4 linked regions of the Oryctolagus cuniculus genome follow. The protein of the gene in region 1 purifies or fractionates together with the protein of each later gene. This does not show direct contact. Links are inferred from orthologs where the notes say so. Each region holds a gene or a part of one and is shown on either strand. Other genes may lie near its edges.

Region 1 (4,913 bases):
AGGCAACTGAAAAAAACAGTCGTCACATCAGTTTCACTTTCTCTTCCAGCCAGCCCGGCTGCCTCGCTCCGTGCCTGCTGCCCCCTGCACTTCTCTCCGAGCACGGCTCAGACACCGGAACGGCACCAGAGCACGTCCGTGGCTGGCTCTTCACGGCTTAGGGCCCCCAGAACCTTTTCCAAATAACTTCGAAAAAATTCTCTGGAGTCCTTAACACGGAGTTGTTCAGTTTTTTGTCTTTTTCCTTTGAACGTTTTTTTAAGGCAAAACTTACAAACAGTTTTCCCCATAATTTTTTGCCAATATTTTTATTTATACTAAATCTCAGCAAACAGATGCATTCACAGAGGAAACAAAAAACCCCTTTTCACCCTGCACACGCGCAGGTGGTCTGGGCCGTCGGAAGATGCATTTGCTTTCTGTCTCCATGCTGCTCGTGATCTTCTGCCTCACATTTAAAAATCCAACAAGCAGATGTGTCAAGTTCATACCACAGGGTCAAAACTGCTTCCCTTGCCTTCTCCCCAAAATCAACGGGGGGGAAGTAGGCACCTTAACAGCAAACTGAAAACATCTGGACAAAACAATGAGAGTCGCCCTCTAGGAGAGGAACTACTCTAATAATCTAATCAACAAATTTACATGAATCCACGGGGATGAACATTTGGAAAAGCAGGAAGCTTCCAAAAACCGTGAGCCAAAATTTCATGCACAAAAGAACCTTCCTCTCACCGGGAAGCCATCGGAATGCAAATGCACAGGGCGGATTCTGCAGCGACTGACACCTGACTGACCAACCCCGGTCCAGCCCTGAGCCAGAGGTCGGCAAACAATGCTGCAGGCACACTGGGCTCCGCTGCCACATTAGTGAGGACAACAGCAACGGGAAGAGGGAATTCAATTTTCACATCCATGGGTGAATACGAGTGTGCATCATGACTTCAAAGAGAAATAAAGCACAGCAAATATTCACGACTGCTGGCCAGGAGCAAGTGCACGCTGGGAGTTCAGTGGAAACATCAGCTCTCAGGCCAGCTTTCCTAATGGTCTCTCTTGGACAACCCGTGCCACCTTGGCGTGCTCTGATGACGCACAGGGACAATGCAGAGAGCTTGCCTTTGTGGTTACTAAATTCCTACACCAGGGGTCTACCGCGGCATCCTGCAAACTCTACCAAGCCTGCACACAGCTGGTCCACACATTCTTTTGAAAATCACAAAAGTCATATACAAGTTGTGGATTTCCACTATTTCCTTCACAACAGGAAGATCTGGCAACAGCGGGTGCTCCTCCCACATACCCACCCACTGGGGCGGAGGAGCGCCTGCCTCTTTGGGAGGCCTGTGTCCCCCAGGAGCCCAGGCCCCACCTCTTCCCTCCCCTGGACTCTCAGCTCCCCACTGCCTGGGGCACCCCACAGCTCCCGGCTCCTAGCTGACGACCAGCACAGCCTCTGCCACGCTTCGCTCTTCTTGCCCGCTCCAGTGCGGATTTACTCCGCATCTCTCCTCTGCTTTCTCTGATCTAGCCACACACGCCCGCAGCACGGCTCCAAAGACAAGAGCTCCGAGTGGGAGTGCACAGGAGCACGCCCGAGCACACTGGCATCAGAACGTGGGAGCCACCGCGAGAACACCGGTGACCGCCTCCATCACCTTTCCCCAGCGCTGTCTTCAGCCGCTCTCACCATTCTCTATCCCCCTCTCCTTCAACTGGGACAGGGGCCGCCCACAAGGAGCCGCAGGTCAGGCTGGTGCCACGGCCCGCCCGCCCGCCCCGGCTGGTCTGCCGTTGGTGCTACAACACCTCGGCCTGCCAGCCCCATGACTCCCGGTTAGGGGCCATTACTGCATGTGGCTTCAGCCGGACCCAGCTATGTGGCTAGGGTTCAACACCGCCTGCTGCCTAACTCAGCCTCCCAGCTCCTTGGCCCTGGAGCGACGCCAGCCACTATCTGCCTCCAAAGGCTGTCCTCATTCCCCACTCGCACGGCAGGAGCTGCAAGCCCGTGTGGAAACTACAGGCCATTCCACGTCTTGGCTTCACTCAGCACTCAGTCACCTGAGAATCTGGAATTATGGGATTCGCAGCTCTCCCTCCCCACCCCCCGGCACCCCGGATTCAGGCCCCACCTCACCTTAGCGGGCAACAGGAGGGTTTACTACATTATTAAAAGTATTAGAACAATCTCTGGTTCTCTCTGACCCCAGAAAGGACTAGAACTGAACGGAAATGAAAACGAAATGGAGAGTAGGAGACGTACCGCAGATTGAAACCTCGGTTGCTCTTCCTGGAATAAGAGAGAAAAAAAAAATAGAAAATATAGAAGTTATTTTTACACTTCACACTCAATAATAAGAAAGAAAATGCCGGCGGCGGAGGAAGCGGCGGGTGGGGGGGGGGGAGTCAGCCCTTCACCCCTCCCTCCCCGCCCCACGCCCCCACCCTCCCCCAGCGGGATCCAGTAGCCGGGCAGGGGGTCCCGAGCGCCGCCCCTCTTTCCGGGATCCGACCCGGGCCAGAGGGGTTCCCGAGCACCGTCTCCTCCCCTCGGACCCAGCTCGGGCCGCCGGGACACTCCCAACCCCTCTCCGCTCTGCCGCACCCCCCGCACCCCCCAGGATCCGCGGGTCCCGGGAGGAGGGGATCGCCGACCCCAGGATCCGGACAATGAGATCCCGGTCGCACCCCAGCCCTGTCCCACGGAGCCTCAGCTGGCTAGGGTGGCGGCAGGAGAACGGGCCGGGGGTCCCAGAGGCCGCGTGTCCTCTCCCCCACCTCCAGCCCGGCAGCCCCGAGGGGAGCGAGCCGGGAGCGCGACCGAGGCGGTCCCGGCCGGGGAGGGGAAAGGGGGGGAGGAGGAGGAGGAGGAGGAGGAGGAGGCGGCGGCTGCGGCCCGGCCCCCTCCCGCCGTCGCCCCGCTGAGAGCCCTGGCCGCTGTCCCCGCCTGACAACCCGCACGGGAAGGAAGAAGCCCCGGGACTCACGTCGCTCTCCACCTCGATGTCATCGTTATCGCTCATTTCCTACGGCCCAGGGAGCGGCCACTGCAGCGGCGGCGGCGGGAAGGGGGAAGGGTGGAGGGGAGGGGGAAGTCACCGACAACAAGCAGCCAAGTGCCCCCACACACACACTCACTCACTCACTCACTCGCTCTCTCACTCACTCACACACACACACCCCCACACACGCACACACACACAACACGGGCGAGAACCACCTCCTCACTGCAGCACCGGATCAACGGCGGCACGCACGCCCGGTCGGCCCCCTGCCACGTGATCGGACTCGGCACGCTGGGGCAGCCGAGTCTTGTAGTTCTCGTCCTTGGGACTGACGGCCCGGCGAGAGCCCAAAGAACTACAAATCCCAGGAAGCACTGCAGCCCGTCGACGCCAGGCCGGCTTGCGGACGGAGCTCAGGGCGCCTGCGTGTCCCGCGGAGGAGGGCGGAGAGAGAGGCGGCGCGGCGCCTTCTGGGAGACGTAGTCCGCAGACCGCGAGTTGTCAGGAGGTTTTCCTCCCGAGGCGGCAGAGGAGGCTGCTGGGAAGACAGGACACGTGGAGGGAGCTGGGGCTCCGGAGCCGGGCACCGTCTGCGCTCTGGGCGCCGGGCCCGGGGGACAGGGTGGAGGCCCTGGGGGAAAAGCCGGCCGCATAAATAGCGCTGCCTCTCTTTGGTGCAATTGGTTTTACTTTGTCTCCTGGATGCTGGAGTCGCGCCGCTTTGCGCCCTGGGGCGTAACCTGCCGCGGCAGACCAGGGGGCGCAGCTCTGGCTGCCCACGCGGACCCTCGGGAACCGTGGAGGTGGTGATGGCAGGTGTGGGGTGGTGTGACGGCACGGGCACCGCGACCGCCCTCGCCGAGGGACCTCTCCTAGCCGCAGAGGCTTGCGTCCCTTTAGCGGGCAGTGTCGGTCCGCACGGCGCACGTGAGGCTCCCAGGACCACGGAGCCCACCCCCGGCAGCCGGGGTACCTGGAAGTGAAAGCGCCTTCCGGGTCCGGCGTAGCTCGGGCGGTCTGCAGAGTGCCCCGGCCCGGAGCACCGCGGCTAAAAATTGCAGACTGGAAGACTGGCGCAGCTGCCTCTCCGTTTGAAATCATTTTTACAGATCTGCTTCTCCAGTGTTCACTGGCACCTAACAGGTGCCGAAGGGGATGCCATCATGTCCCCTGCATTCATGCAACTCCCAGCTGGCAAGCAGAAGTCCACGCTGCGCGGCTGCCATTTCAGAGTGCACACAGGAAGGAAAAACAAAACAGCAACAAAGACATTTTCCGCCCTTATGTCCGATCTCCAAAATAAGCGAAATCTTGGACTTTTCCCCTGACTTCCGGCTGTCCACATGAGGAACCATTTTACCCCTGACTTTTGAAAGCAGGAATCTGGAGACGGGACACACAACCTTTGTGGCATCCATGCTGAAGACATTGGATGTAGATGTGCATGAACGCCCCTTTCCATTCTGTCCCTCTAAATAGTTCTCACTGCTGGTGAAGCCTGCACATCTTTTTTTTTTTTCCTTTTTTTTTAAGATTTATTTTTCTTTATTTGAGAGGCAGAGTTACAGAGAGGCCGCCACAAAACACCAAACACCGGAGTAAGGCAAAGGGTTTATTGGTGGGGTAAACCCCACAGACCGGAGGGAAAGGGAAAAGAATGAAAAGAGAGAGAACAAAAGACAGTGAGAAAGAGCCACGTGTTCAGGAACAGGCTGGGGGGAAGGCGGTGGGCAGGGAAGTAGGAGCAACAAATCCTGTTAGGATGGGGGTGGAGCTGACACCGATGGTTGGGCCACAGGGTCACCTGGCTTCCAGCAATGGCGTGGAGGGCTAGAGCCTAGAATTGTGTCCGGGGTATAGGTCGGGCCGTAGATAAGACTGCCGCCATTTTACTAATAGGGAGAGACA
Region 2 (4,357 bases), on another chromosome or scaffold:
CGGTGCCCCGGTGCAGACCAGTTCCGTAGAATGCCTGGCGTGGGCAAGCGTTTAAGCTCCCCAGGTGTCTGTAATGTGAAGTCAGGGTTGAAACGCTGACCCAGCTCAGTCTCTTTACTGTATCCATGAGATAATGGAGCCACAAGGATTGAGCGACTTGGGCACTTCTACCTAATACATGTTTTTCTCTTTGACTTCTCTGTCTTGAAAACTTCCTCACTGACCTGTTTCCCCAGTTGTCTTTCTGAAGTTCCCTTAGCCCCGCTGTTACACACACAGCCCAGGGAGGCCGGGCAGCCTCGCTTAGGTGAGGTCCGTTCAGATGTGTTCAGTGTGGCCTCCGCCTCCTCCTCCTCCACCACCTCCTCCTCCTCCTCTTGTGTCAGCCTTAGTGAGGGCTGGCACTCACCTGGTTAGTGCAATGTCCCAGGTATTGAAGGCCTCATTGGGTTTGATTTGGGGCGACCGTACCAGGTGAGTCATGTGCTAAGTTCTCTTCCCAGCTGTCTGTGAGATGTGCGGTATCGTGGGCACAAGGGAAGCCTTCTTCTCCAAGACCAAGAGGTTCTGCAGCGTCTCCTGCTCCAGGAGCTATTCCTCCAACTCCAAGAAAGCCAGCATCTTGGCTAGATTACAGGTGAGAGGCAGCCGCTCGGCCCCCAGGGCCCTGGGTGCTAAAAGAGGACCAGCTGACTGGAGGCCCAGAGGACCTGGGAAGCTCCCTGTTTTGGCCGTCTGAGGTTGGACATTTCTTCTGAGAATTTGCTGTGCTCTCAAACCTCAGTAGGCAGAGGAGTCAGTTTATGGAGCTTGTTCATTAAGAGCTTGCTGTTATCCTTCCACCCCCAAGAGTCGCTCATATTCAATAAATTTAAGTGAGAGTCCTGGAGGTTCTGATCAGAGCTGGAAGCCCTGCTCTTCTCTGCACGCTTTTATAAATGCCTTGAAGGGAAGCTGGGATACAGGCGCAAGGTTCAGCAGCCACAGCGGCATCAGGAAGCCGATGCCTTGTCGCTGACTGTGTCTCATGGGTGGCCACCTGGGAAGTCTTGCCAAGCTCTTGACATTTATAGAAGTTTAGGGATGGAAACACTTGTCTTAGGCACCTGTTGTCAGACCCACAAGATGATGCAGTGTGCCGAGTGCAGGGAGGTGGAACGACTGACCCAGGGCAGCTCTGTGGAGGGAGAGCACTGGGATCTGGGCTGCAGCCTACGCTCAGCTGCCGGCCGTGGGTGTTTCCCAACGTGCACACGTGCCTCAAAGGAGACTGTGCATTCGGAACATCCGGAAAGTTTTGGTTTTTTTTTTTTTTTAAAGATTTGTTTATTTGGAAGAGTTACACAGAGAGGTAGAGACAGAGAGAGTCTTCCATTCACTGGTTCACTCTTCAAATGGCCTCAATGGCCAGAGCTGGGCCAATTAGGAGCCAGGAGTTTCTTCCAGGTCTCCCACGTGGGTGCAGGGGCCCACGCACTTGGGCCATCTCTGCTGCTTTCCCAAGGCGCATTAGCAGGGAGCAGCCAGGTCTTGAACTGGCGTCCATATAGGATGCCTGCGCTGCAGGCCGGAGCATTAACCTGCTGCACCATAGTGCCAGCCTCTAGAAAGTTTTAAAAATATGATATTTGGGGCCGGTGCCGCAGCTCACTAGGCTAATCCTCCACCTAGCAGCGCCAGCACACCGGGTTCTAGTCCCGGTCGGGGCGCCGGATTCTGTCCTGGTTGCCCCTCTTCCCGGCCAGCTCTCTGCTGTGGCCAGGGAGTGCAGTGGAGGATGGCCCAAGTGCTTGGGCCCTGCACCCCATGGGAGACCAGGAGAAGTACCTGGCTCCTGCCTTCGGATTAGCGCGGTGCACTGGCCGCAGCGTGCCAGCCGCGGCGGCCATTGGAGGGTGAACCAACAGCAAAAGGAAGACCTTTCTCTCTGTCTCTCTCTCACTGTCCACTCTACTTGTCAAAAAAAAAAAAAAAAAAGAAAAAAAAAAGATATTTGGGTCCTATACCCAAAGACTGGCTTAACAGGGAAGGAGTGTGATCTTGGCTTGGGGATTTAAAGAGCTCGCCGGTGACTCTGCCTGCCACCGTGATGCTGGTGGCAGTGCCCTGAGCTGGCTCCGGCCGGTGCCTCACTCACTGCACTGCCTTTGCTTCCCTCGTTTTGTGGGTTTTATGCAACGCATGAAAGAGAGCTCGTGATGTTACTTGGTAATAGTGACATCGGGGGACACCTGTTGAGGGCTTGGCATTCCCAGTCTAAACAACGATCCTAAAAAATTGACTTTACACAAATTCCTGTTTTAAGAGTTTAAGCATTTGAGTAAAAGATATAGAAAGCTTCAGAACCGGGGTTGGCCCCCAGTCTGTGTGGGATGTCATCCTCCATTTCTGCCTCACTGATCTGTGGTAAATTCCTGGCTTTTCTGATCAGTGCGTAAGTTACAAAGTATGCACCAGGGCCCTGGCCTTTCCCTTTGGGGGTGACCTCCTCTGAGTACCTGAGGACAGCACGGGAGCCTCCGTGGAGCACAATTACCTGTGTACGGAATGCTGCCTCGTGGAGCAGAGACTTCGTGGTGCCACCCTCCCCCACCTCACCCCCGCCCAGCCTATTCTCTGCGTGGCTCAGTAGCAGCACCAGAGTAAGGAGCTGACAGAGCTAAAGCTGTAGGGAGAGGCCCCTGCTCCGCTGACTACCCACCACCACCATCACCCTCTGAGCTAGGCCTTGTCCACGCTGTGTTTTACAAACTCAAGCCAGAAGAGGATAAGTAACTGAACAAGACCAGGCGGATCCTGACAGTGCCGATCCAGATCCTTAGCCGCCACCTCACGGCCTCTCTTTTCCCTCCAGGGGAAACCACCAACCAAGAAAGCCAAAGTGCTGCACAAGGCGGCCTGGTCTGCTAAAATCGGAGCCTTCCTGCACTCCCAGGGCACTGGACAGCTGGCCGATGGGACGCCCACAGGGCAAGACGGTAAGACAGCAGGGACAGGTTCTGAAAGTGGCTGCGGTGGTGGCCGGGACCCGGCTGGCCCTCCCTGGGAGTGGGGGCTGGGAAAGCTGGACCACTGGAAAGCCCCTGGCCCAGGCTCGCTGCCCGTCACCCTTTCCTGTGGGCTGTCCTGGAAGTTACCTCCTAAAAGCTCCTGGCTCACCCCTCAGAAGTCAGGAATTAGCTTCTTTTGTTTCTCTTATCTCTGGGGCAGTGGAGGCCCAAGTCTGGTTTGAAGGGGCGGCAGTCCGGGGTTAGGATAACAAAAGGAACCTTCTCTGTGTGTGTGTGTAGCAAACTAAGTGTAGGCCCTCGCAGCTCTGCCAAGTTGGCCTCCCCGCCAGCAGGTCTGGGCCTCACTCTGTGCTGCTCCACCCTGTTGGGTTGGATGTGGCCAAGGAGAGGCTGAGGGGTGTGAGGAATTTGAACCCAGGGACACTGGCATTTCCCTTTCCTTGGGATAAGAAGGGAGAGATACTCCTTTGTAAGTGCTCCTCTACCGAGGATTGGCGGCGTCTAGATTTGCCTGCACCCCCTGGTGGCCACTGGTGGGACAGGTCTGGGCGCACTGGGACTGCTGCGGAAGAGCGACTGCTGCTGAGCCCGCCGGCCCTCAGTGCAGTGACCACAGCGCTGCCACCGGGCTTCCAGGCGCCAATCTCCTCTCTGCTCCACAGCTCTGGTCCTGGGCTTCGACTGGGGCAAGTTCCTGAAGGATCACAGTTACAAAGCTGCTCCTGTCAGCTGCTTCAAACACGTGAGTGCCCCGGGTTGCAGAGGGAGGGCAGGGCACACAGCGGAGGCGCTGGCCTTGGTGTGCACACCGCTTCCCAAGGACGGTGCCAGGCTGGTGCGGTGCCGCAGAGCTGCAGTGCGCGCCAGGTGGAAGGAGCTCAGCCCTGTCAGCCGGCTCCATGCTCTGAGTCTGCTGCTCCTCAAAACTCCCGGAGCTGCGCTGCGGCACAGCGGGTTAAGCCATCTGCACCCTGGCAACCCTATGAGTACAGGTTCAAGTCCCGGCTGCTCCACTTCCAGCCCAGTTCCCTGCTAATGTGCCTGTGAAAGCAGCGGAAGATGGCCCAACTCCCTGGACCCCTGCCACCCAAATGGGAGACCTGGATGGAGTCTGGCTCCTGTCTTCAACTTGGCCCAGCCCTGGCTGTTAGGGGCCATTTAGGGAGTGAACCAGCTGATGGAAGGTCTGTCACTCCCTCTCTCTGTAACTCTGTCTTTCAAATTGTTAACCCCCTTCCCCAAACACCTATTGAGGGCTTCTAGCCCCGGGCTCCACTAAGGTCCCTACCTTGCTTATTTAAATAGCAGAACGGCGTGAGTCGGTGCTAGAAGGACCTTTCTGTCCA
Region 3 (4,357 bases), on another chromosome or scaffold:
GCTCTCCCCGCGCGCCCCGCACCCCGGGATGGCGCCCGCACGCCTGCAGCTCGGACAACACGCACGGCTGGGACCAGCAACTCAGCGTCCACCGCGTGTCCACAGGCCCGGGCCATCCCGGCCACCTCCGACGAGCAAGGCTACCTCCACGCGGAACCCCCTTCCGAGGTCGGCTCCCCACGCGGCCCTGCTCCCCCGAGACTCAGGTCGGGGACGCTGCCCCCGGAAGCCCACGCCCGCAGTGGCCGCGTCCCGGGGGTGGGGGGGACTTACGGCTGACACGGGGTCCGAGTGCGCGGGCAGGGTCTTGAGGCACTTCCCCGTCTTCACGTCCCAAATCCTCACGCTCTCGTCAAACTAGGGCAGGCGGGACAGGACAGTGGCCCACGGCAGGAAGGCAGGGCCCCCTCCGCCACGCCGCGCCCCCACGCACCCCACCCCCACGCAGCGCAGCCCCGCCCCCGCCCCCGCCCCGCACTCACGGAGCTCCGCCCCGCCCCCACGCAGCCCCGCCCCCACGCAGCCCGCCCCGCCCCGCACTCACGGAGCTCCGCCCCGCCCCCGCGCAGCCCCGCCCCGCACTCACGGAGCCCCGCCCCGCCCCCGCGCAGCCCCGCCCCGCACTCACGGAGCCCCGCCCCGCCCCCCCCCCCCGCGCAGCCCGCCCCGCCCCGCACTCACGGAGCCCCGCCCCGCCCCCCCCCCCCGCGCAGCCCGCCCCGCCCCGCACTCACGGAGCCCCGCCCCGCCCCCGCGCAGCCCCGCCCCGCACTCACGGAGCCCCGCCCCGCCCCGCACTCACGGAGCCCCGCCCCGCACTCACGGAGCCCTGCCCCGCCCCCGCGCAGCCCCGCCCCGCACTCACGGAGCCCCGCCCCACCCCGCCCCCCGCGCAGCCCCGCCCCACACTCACGGAGCCCCGCCCCGCCCCGCCCCCGCGCAGCCCCGCCCCGCACTCACGGAGCCCGACACGATGAGGTTGGACTGCGGGTTGAAGTTGCAGCAGAAGACGTAGTTGCTGTGGCCCTTCAAGGTCTTCAGGCACTTGCCCTGCAACAAAGCCCCTCAGACTCCGGCGGGCGGGGCCGGGACCACCCCCAGGGCCCCGCGGGCGCGCGCGGCTCACCGAGCTCACGTCCCAGATCTTCAAGGTCTTATCGTCGGAGGCAGAGACGAGGAGGTTGGAATCTGAGGACCAGGCCACGTCGGATATTCCCTGGGGGAGACCACGGTGAGCTCCGGCAGCGACAGAGCTCGGCCCAGAGCCGACCCCCGAGAGGCCGGGGCGCTGTGACCCCGAGAGGCCGGGGCGCTGTGACCCCGAGAGGCCGGGGCGCTGTGACCCCGAGAGGCCGGGGCGCTGTGACCCCAGAGAGGCCGGGGGCGCTGTGACCCCCCCCCCGAGAGGCCACGGGGCGCTGTGACCCCCGAGAGGCCCGGGCGCTGTGACCCACCCCCCCGAGAGGCCAGGGCGCTGTGACCCCCCCCCCGAGAGGCCCCGGGGCGCTGTGACCCCCGAGAGGCCCAGGCGCTGTGACCCCGAGAGGCCCCGGGGCGCTGTGACCCCCGAGAGGCCCGGGCGCTGTGACCCCCCCCCCGAGAGGCCGGGGCGCTGTGACCCCGAGAGGCCGGGAGCTGTGACCCCGCGAAAGGCCCGGGCGCTGTGACCCCCCCCCCGAGAGGCCACGGGGCGCTGTGACCCCCGAGAGGCCCGGGCGCTGTGACCCACCCCCCCGAGAGGCCGGGGCGCTGTGACCCCCCCCCCGAGAGGCCCAGGCGCTGTGACCCCGAGAGGCCCCGCGGCGCTGTGACCCCCGAGAGGCCCAGGCACTGTGACCCCGAGAGGCCGGGGCGCTGTGACCCCCCCCCCGAGAGGCCCCGGGGCGCTGTGACCCCCGAGAGGCCCCGGGCGCTGTGACCCCGAGAGGCCCCGGGGCGCTGTGACACCCCCCCGAGAGGCCCCGGGGCGCTGTGACCCCCGAGAGGCCCAGGCGCTGTGACCCCGAGAGGCCGGGGCGCTGTGACCCCCCCCCCCGAGAGGCCCCGGGGCGCTGTGACCCCCGAGAGGCCCGGGCACTGTGACCCCGCGAGAGGCCGGGGCGCTGTGACCCCCGAGAGGCCCCGGGTGCTGTGACCCCGCGAGAGGCCCGGGCACTGTGACCCCGGGAGAGGCCGGGGCGCTGTGACCCCCGAGAGGCCCGGGCGCTGTGCCTGCCGGCGGGGGCCAGTGTGGGCACAGGGAGAGCGCGGCGGAACACGCGGGGGGCCCTTCCCCCGCCAGGCCTCCTCCAGCCCCGCTCCCGGGGACACCCACCAGCTTGTGGCCCGAGATGGTCTTCTCAAACTTCCCGTCGTATGCGCCCCAGATTTTAATGAGTTTATCAGCAGCTGAAAGAAAGAGGGAGGCGGGGCTGGGGCTCAGGGAGCATGGTCGCTCGGCCACCCACTGCCTGGGCTTCCCGGACCCCAGCGCGGGGAGATCGCCCCCCCACCCGCCCCGCCCGCGGCACCTACAGGAGCTGGCCAGCCACTCGCCGTTGGGGCTGAATTTCACGGAGGACACGGCTTTCGTGTGGCCGGCCAGGGTGAATTTCAGGGCGTAGTTGGGCTTCACAGGCGTGGGCTGTTGGAGAGAAGGCAGAGGTCCCACTAGCAGAAGCCCCCCCCCCCAGCTAGCAGCCACGTGGACCCCAGCTGAAGGCCGGCGCAGCCCCCCTAGGCCAGGCGCCTGCTGGAGACTCTACCCGGAGCCACCCTGCAACCCGAGGTCACGGTTCCCCCCAGAGGCCCCTCTGATGTGACCACCCCAGCCCCCCCAGCCCCACTGATGCAACACCCCCCACCCCCCCAACCCCCCCAGCCCCTCTGATGTGACCACCCCAGCCCCCCCAGCCCCGCTGACACAACCACCCCCACCCCCCCAGCCCCGCTAACGCAACCACCCCCACCCCCCCAACCCCTCTGATGTGACCACCCCCAACCCCCCCAACCCCTCTGATGTGACCACCCCCAACCCCCCCAGCCCCTCTGATGTGACCACCCCAGACCCCCAGCCCCGCTGACACAACCACCCCCACCCCCCCAGCCCCCCCAGCCCCGCTGACACAACCACCCCCACCCCCCCAACCCCCCCAGCCCCTCTGATGCGACCACCCCCACCTCCCCCACCCCCCCAGCCCCTCTGATGCGACCACCTCCACCCCCAACCCACCCACCCCAACCCCCCCACGTGGCCCTGCCACGTCCCAGGCCCAGCAGCTCCAGCCTGGTTCAGCTTCCCTGGGCTGCACCTGCAGGCCTGGTACCTTCACCAAAGGCCCCCGCATCCCACCGCCCAGACCAGGGCCCCCATCCCACCGCCCAGACCAGGGCCCACATCCCACCGCCCAGACCAGGGCCCGCATCCCACCGCCCAGACCAGGGCCCGCATCCCACCGCCCAGACCAGGGCCCGCATCCCACCGCCCAGACCAGGGCCCGCATCCCACCGCCCAGACCAGGGCCCGCATCCCACCGCCCAGACCAGGGCCCCCATCCCACCGCCCAGACCAGGGCCCGCATCCCACCGCCCAGACCAGGGCCCGCATCCCACCGCCCAGACCAGGGCCCCCATCCCACCGCCCAGACCAGGGCCCGCATCCCACCGCCCAGACCAGGGCCCCCATCCCACCGCCCAGACCAGGGCCCGCATCCCACCGCCCAGACCAGGGCCCGCATCCCCGCCCAGGGCCTGCTGGGGCCGAGGGCCGAGTTCCGCAGACGGGAGCAGGACCGAGCGCCCGTGTTTTGTACGAAGCTGCCGCGGGCGTTCACCAGGACTGCGGTCACTCGGGGAAGGCGGGCGGCGACATCAGCCCGGCCCTGCAGGCCCAGTCCTAACCTCTGCCGCCCCAGGCCGGGAGGGGGGCAGTGCCGTCAGGTCCCCACCTTGCTCTGAGTGGCGGACGAGGAAGGGGTGGGCTGGGCTCTGGCGGCCTCGGTCTCGGGCTTCTTCTCCTCCGTGGCCATGGCGCTGGCGCCCAGCAGGCGGGACCGCAGGGCAGGAGGCTGCGGCTAACCGAGGTCTACAGTGGGCCTGGGCAGCGCAAACCGTATCTAGACGTTAATTCCCAGGAAAAACGGTACAAAAAGAAATCTACTTAGAAATCTCTAGCAGCCGGCTCACTAGGCTAATCCTCTGCCTTGCGGCGCCGGCACACCGGGTTCTAGTCCTGGTCGGGGCGCCGGATTCTGTCCCGGTTGCCCCTCTTCCAGGCCAGCTCTCTGCTGTGGCCCGGGAGTGCAGTGGAGGATGGCCCAAGTGCTTGGGCCCTGCACCCCATGGGAGACCAGGAGAAGTACCTGGCTCCTGCCTTTGG
Region 4 (4,357 bases), on another chromosome or scaffold:
CGAGGTGGGGAGGAAGCTGGCGCCCTGCGCGCGGCCGCTCCCCTCCCCCGTACCTGGATGTACCGCAGCGCCGTCCGAAGCACGCTCAGATTCGACGTCTTCTTGTCGTCCACGTTGGGGATGTTACGCTTCAGGGTCTCAAAGCATTCCTTCAGATGGGCCCTCCTGGGGAGAGGGAGCCAGGGGGTCAGCCAGCGCCGAGGGGCCTGGAGAGGCCTGGGCTGGGGCGCGCACAGAGGGCAAGCCTGAGGGGACCAGGAGCGGGCGGGGCACACACGCACGCGCGTACACACACCTGTTCTTCTCCAGTTTGTTGTGGACTTCTCTGGTTCCGATCCTGAAACCCAGGCAGACAGGAGGATCAGGGAGGAGGACGCATTAGGCGGCCTTCCGGACCTCCACCCCACCCCTACCCCGCCGCCAACCCCCATGAGCGGCAGGCATTTTGTCCCCAACATTCTCTCTGTAGAAGCAGAGGTGGCAGATGTTGGCATCCTCCACCCCCGGAAGGCGCATCTTTGCTCAGAATCCCCAACCCTTGGAACCCTCCATCCCACGCACCCAACCACAAGGCCACAGGAGGGCTCCTGGGCCTCAGAGAAGCTGCCAGTGACCCCAGTCCTTATCCAAAGGGCCCACAATCCAATACTCGGTCTAAAGGCTTGGAAATGTCATAAACCAACCCCAGCGTGGCAGGGGTCAGAGGACATCGGCAGTTGACTCCCAGCTAGAGACACAGTGAGAAGGCGGCGGGCAGGTGGGGCTGGCCTCCGGATGGCTAGCGTGGCAGGGCCCCTTCTCTTGCGCGCTCCTCTCCAGCCCCCCAGCCCTGACTGCCACCCCTCACTCACCCCCCGGGCCTCTTCTTCTGTTCGCTGGATTTGACTTCTTCAGCTGGTGCCAGCTTCAGGGTCCCGAGGGTGGTTGGGGGTGGCTGCTGGGGGGCCAGCTGAGGCTGGACGCCAGGGTGTGGTGCTATGGTCAGGATGGGTGTGGGGAGGGGCTGCAGAGGTTTGGGACTGCCGGTGGGTGGGACTGTGGTCTTTGAGTCAGGCAGCAGGGGTGTGGGGGTGGGCACCTGTGGCCTGGTGGGCAAGGGTGCTGGCTCCTTAATGCTGAGTCCAGGGGTGCCCACCAGGGCTGGCTGGCGAGGCGCCAGGGGCAGAGGCTGGGCTGGGGGTGGCAGTGGTGGGGGTGGGGGCAGCGCCTGAGGGGAGTTGGTCACTACAGGAATAGGAATGACAGTGAGTGGGGTGGGAGTGGCCAGTGGAGGAGGGGGTGCCGGCGGAGGTGCTGGGGGCGACAGAGGCAGTGGTGGCGCCTCCACGCGGGGCTCCTCCAGAGGCAGGGCATGGGCCAGCCTGGTCAGGCTACTGGTTTTCTTCTGCTCCTGCTCTCGTTCCCGCTCCAAGCGAAGCCGCTCCTGCTCCTCTATGCAGAGAACACGGGGAGGAGGGGGTGTCTCAGCAGGGCCAGTGGACCTGGGCCCCAGCCTCACCTGTCCTCTGGCCCTAAGCCATCCTTGGACCCGCCCAGACAGCTCTCAGTGACCCCTGTGCCTGCCCCTGGGGGCTCACAGTCCGGGGCAGGGGCAGGAGGACGCACAATGACAGAACCACTCAGCGGGGCAAGGACCGAGTGGCCGCAAGGCCGAGCAGGGCCTGCCAGAGACCTGCAGCAGGCAGGGCAGCCTGGAGGTGCAGGGGTGAGCAGGGAAGAGTCGGAAGCAACAGGGCTGCGGAGACCAGAGACAGCTGAGGAAGCTGCGGAGCTGGGCAGAGATGGGCGCACAAAAGACTTCGGTAACCACAGGACAATGGAGGCTTCTTTGGAAGCCAGTATCTGCTGGAGGGCAGGCGGGGCCTTCGTCTCACAGACAGAAGCAGTGAAACCCAGAGAGGCACAGTGACCCGTTGAAGGTCACACAGCAAATCTCCTGACGCTGTAGCGGATGCCCTGTCCTTGCTGGGTCAACACCTCCTCACTAGGAGTCTTCTCACATCCATTCCCTTCTGCCTGGGTGCTCGCAAGAGCCCACATCACAGGCACGCACTGCCCACTCCCAGGCTAGGGTTCAAGGCCTGCTTTCTTCAGCGAATCGCTCAAAACACACACACACTTGGCTCCCGCCTGCCCCTTCTCATGCTAGAACTCATTTCTCTCCAGCCCCTGCCTCCTGTGCCCACCATTTCCAGTGCAGACTGGAGAAAGAGGTGGACAGAAGCTGGGCTTTTTCCTGGGGATCAGACAGGGCAAGAGCAGGCAGCTGCACCCTGCGTGCCCCTGGTCTGTAGCCCCCAGGCCAGCCCTCACCCTCTGCTGACTAACAGGCCGGGAGACACACCCCAAACAGGTGGGAGCGCATCACTGCCCCCCCACAAGTCTGACTGGCTCAGAGGCCCCAGCAGACCTGAGTCCTTGGGGCCCTCTGGCCAATCAACAACTTGAGAGTGAGCCAACCCTGCTCCCAGCCCCTCCCTGCTGCAAAGGAGAAGAGGCAAAGGAGGAAGTGGAGGGGGAAGGTCCGGAGGGGGGGCGCTCGGCGGTTTCCAGCAGTCCAGGGGCTGGCCAGTCAGGAGGCCTCTTCCGTGTCCCCCCTGGCCTGCAGGAAGGAGAAATGCCGGGCCTCCTCCCTCCCTGCCCCCGGCACAGGCATGCTGACAGCCACACAGAAAACCAGCTCTCTGCACTCCAGCTCCCCACAAACCACAATGGCACAGAAGCCAGCTGAGTTCCAGCTACAAAGCCCTTCTCAGGCCCAGCTGGGACACCCTGTCTGCTCTCCCACCCTGCTCTCCCCCTGCCCCCCAGGTGAGGTCCTCAAACTCAGAGCCCCACACAGCCCCCATCTCCATTCCTTTGACTGACTTAAGACCCAAACTTTCATTAGCCTTGGGGCCACTGCTCCACCATACACAGGCAGAGGACAGACAGGGCCCCACGTCCCAAGCACAGGTGCTCTGAGAACCCAGACTGAAGTCAAACCCCATATTCTCATATTTTATTTTTAAAAATTTATTTCTGCTTTACTTGAAAGGCAGAAAGAGACAAAGGGAGATCTTCCAACCACTGTTTCACTGCCTCCCAAAAGGCCCACAGCAGCCAGAGCAGGGCCAGGATGTAGCCAGAAGTCAGGAACTCTATCCGGGTCTCCCACACAGGTGGTAGGGTCCAAGCAGCTGGACCACCATCTGCTGCCTCTGGGTACACATTAGCAGGAATGGTGGACTGGAAGTGGAGCCAGGACTTGAACCAGGCACTCCAATGTGGGATGCAGGTGACCCAAGCAGTGCCATAACCACTGAGCCACGGGCTCAACTCCAAGGCTCACCTAGGAAATGGCCACTTGCTCCTCACCTAGCCTCTCTCTTGCAGAGTCAGGCAGGTATACCTCACAGGTGCCGGGGAGGAAGAGCGCCGTGGGACCTCGGCCAGCACGGCACAGCTTGCCTGCTGCTGAAGAAGGGGCATCTCAGGCCGATCTAGTCCATCCAAGATCTCTGCCCCCTCCCCTGCTCTGATTCCTTCCTGGGCCAGTGCCTAAGAGGGGAAGCGAACTGGCAATAGCCAGGGCCGCCCTCAGGAGCAACCTGTGTTCAGGCACTTTCAAAAAGCACCCTGCTGCGTTCACAGTGCACACCCTGTCTCACATTCCCGCACCTTCCCTGGGTTTCCCCAGAGGCTGCCCCCAGAGAACTTATCAGTGATCCAGGGACCAAGGCTCCAGTCCCCAGTCAACAGCACAGACACTGTGCCCCCTGTGGTCCGGGGTCTCAGCAGCAAAGGGCTGGCCTTGAATCTGCACAGGACTGCTCCCCTTCTGTATGCCAGCTAACAGGGAGCCGGGCACAGCAGGCAGGACCAGGGTGAGGCCAGCAGCAGCGTGTGTCAGGAGGGTTTGCACACTGCAGCCAACCCCTCCCATCCAGGTAGGAGGCAGTCCCATCCAAGTCAGTTCCATGGATGCTAGGAATGGCCAAGCCAGGTCTTCCTGATGAGCACCAGAATCAATGGTTTTATGCTTCTCTCTCTCTCAATCTCAGGTTCACCAAGTGCACAAGCCGTGTGATCTAGGTCAGGACACCCACCCTTGAGCCCGAAAGGGGGAAAGGACAAGGGGATCAGTTCAGCCAGCATGTTCACGTGCCACCCCCTTCTCTCCCTCTCTTCCTGTCCCAAGTCAGAGGACAGAGCCTCAGGTCGGAAAAGAAAATAAATTCTGGAGATTAAACTGTTGGGAGTGGGTCTGGTATGGGAGACCCAGCTCTCCAGCACCCCCCCATCCCCTAAGGCCCCTTGATCTGAGACACTGTGACAGGGCAGAGCTTTGCAAACTCCTTAAGAGAAAAGCTTTGCT

Evidence for each region. Proteins that work in one complex are often made in the same cells at the same time.
Region 2: the proteins of MAX (region 1) and L3MBTL2 purify together in Homo sapiens (affinity purification with mass spectrometry; 6 studies listed by BioGRID and IntAct, with this or other methods). This does not show direct contact. The link is inferred for Oryctolagus cuniculus from reciprocal best matches to the Homo sapiens genes MAX and L3MBTL2.
Region 3: the proteins of MAX (region 1) and WDR5 purify together in Homo sapiens (affinity purification with mass spectrometry; 4 studies listed by BioGRID and IntAct, with this or other methods). This does not show direct contact. The link is inferred for Oryctolagus cuniculus from reciprocal best matches to the Homo sapiens genes MAX and WDR5.
Region 4: the proteins of MAX (region 1) and MNT purify together in Homo sapiens (affinity purification with mass spectrometry; 7 studies listed by BioGRID and IntAct, with this or other methods). This does not show direct contact. The link is inferred for Oryctolagus cuniculus from reciprocal best matches to the Homo sapiens genes MAX and MNT.

The regions. Positions count from the first base shown.
Region 1 is NC_091451.1:11,144,385-11,149,297, forward strand, and holds the start of MAX (protein max), read right to left. Parts: upstream 3,289-4,913; 5' UTR 3,024-3,288; coding exon 2,988-3,023; intron 2,291-2,987; coding exon 2,264-2,290; intron 1-2,263. UniProt on the Homo sapiens protein: Transcription regulator. Forms a sequence-specific DNA-binding protein complex with MYC or MAD which recognizes the core sequence 5'-CAC[GA]TG-3'. The MYC:MAX complex is a transcriptional activator, whereas the MAD:MAX complex is a repressor.
Region 2 is NC_091442.1:117,288,749-117,293,105, forward strand, and holds part of L3MBTL2 (lethal(3)malignant brain tumor-like protein 2), read left to right. Parts: intron 1-503; coding exon 504-637; intron 638-2,854; coding exon 2,855-2,978; intron 2,979-3,673; coding exon 3,674-3,753; intron 3,754-4,357. UniProt on the Homo sapiens protein: Putative Polycomb group (PcG) protein. PcG proteins maintain the transcriptionally repressive state of genes, probably via a modification of chromatin, rendering it heritably changed in its expressibility.
Region 3 is NC_091432.1:235,830,528-235,834,884, reverse strand, and holds part of WDR5 (WD repeat-containing protein 5), read right to left. Parts: intron 4,095-4,357; 5' UTR 4,008-4,094; coding exon 3,927-4,007; intron 2,624-3,926; coding exon 2,515-2,623; intron 2,389-2,514; coding exon 2,315-2,388; intron 1,217-2,314; coding exon 1,127-1,216; intron 1,051-1,126; coding exon 961-1,050; intron 358-960; coding exon 274-357; intron 1-273.
Region 4 is NC_091448.1:47,882,881-47,887,237, forward strand, and holds part of MNT (max-binding protein MNT), read right to left. Parts: intron 1,432-4,357; coding exon 852-1,431; intron 338-851; coding exon 296-337; intron 166-295; coding exon 54-165; intron 1-53. UniProt on the Homo sapiens protein: Binds DNA as a heterodimer with MAX and represses transcription. Binds to the canonical E box sequence 5'-CACGTG-3' and, with higher affinity, to 5'-CACGCG-3'.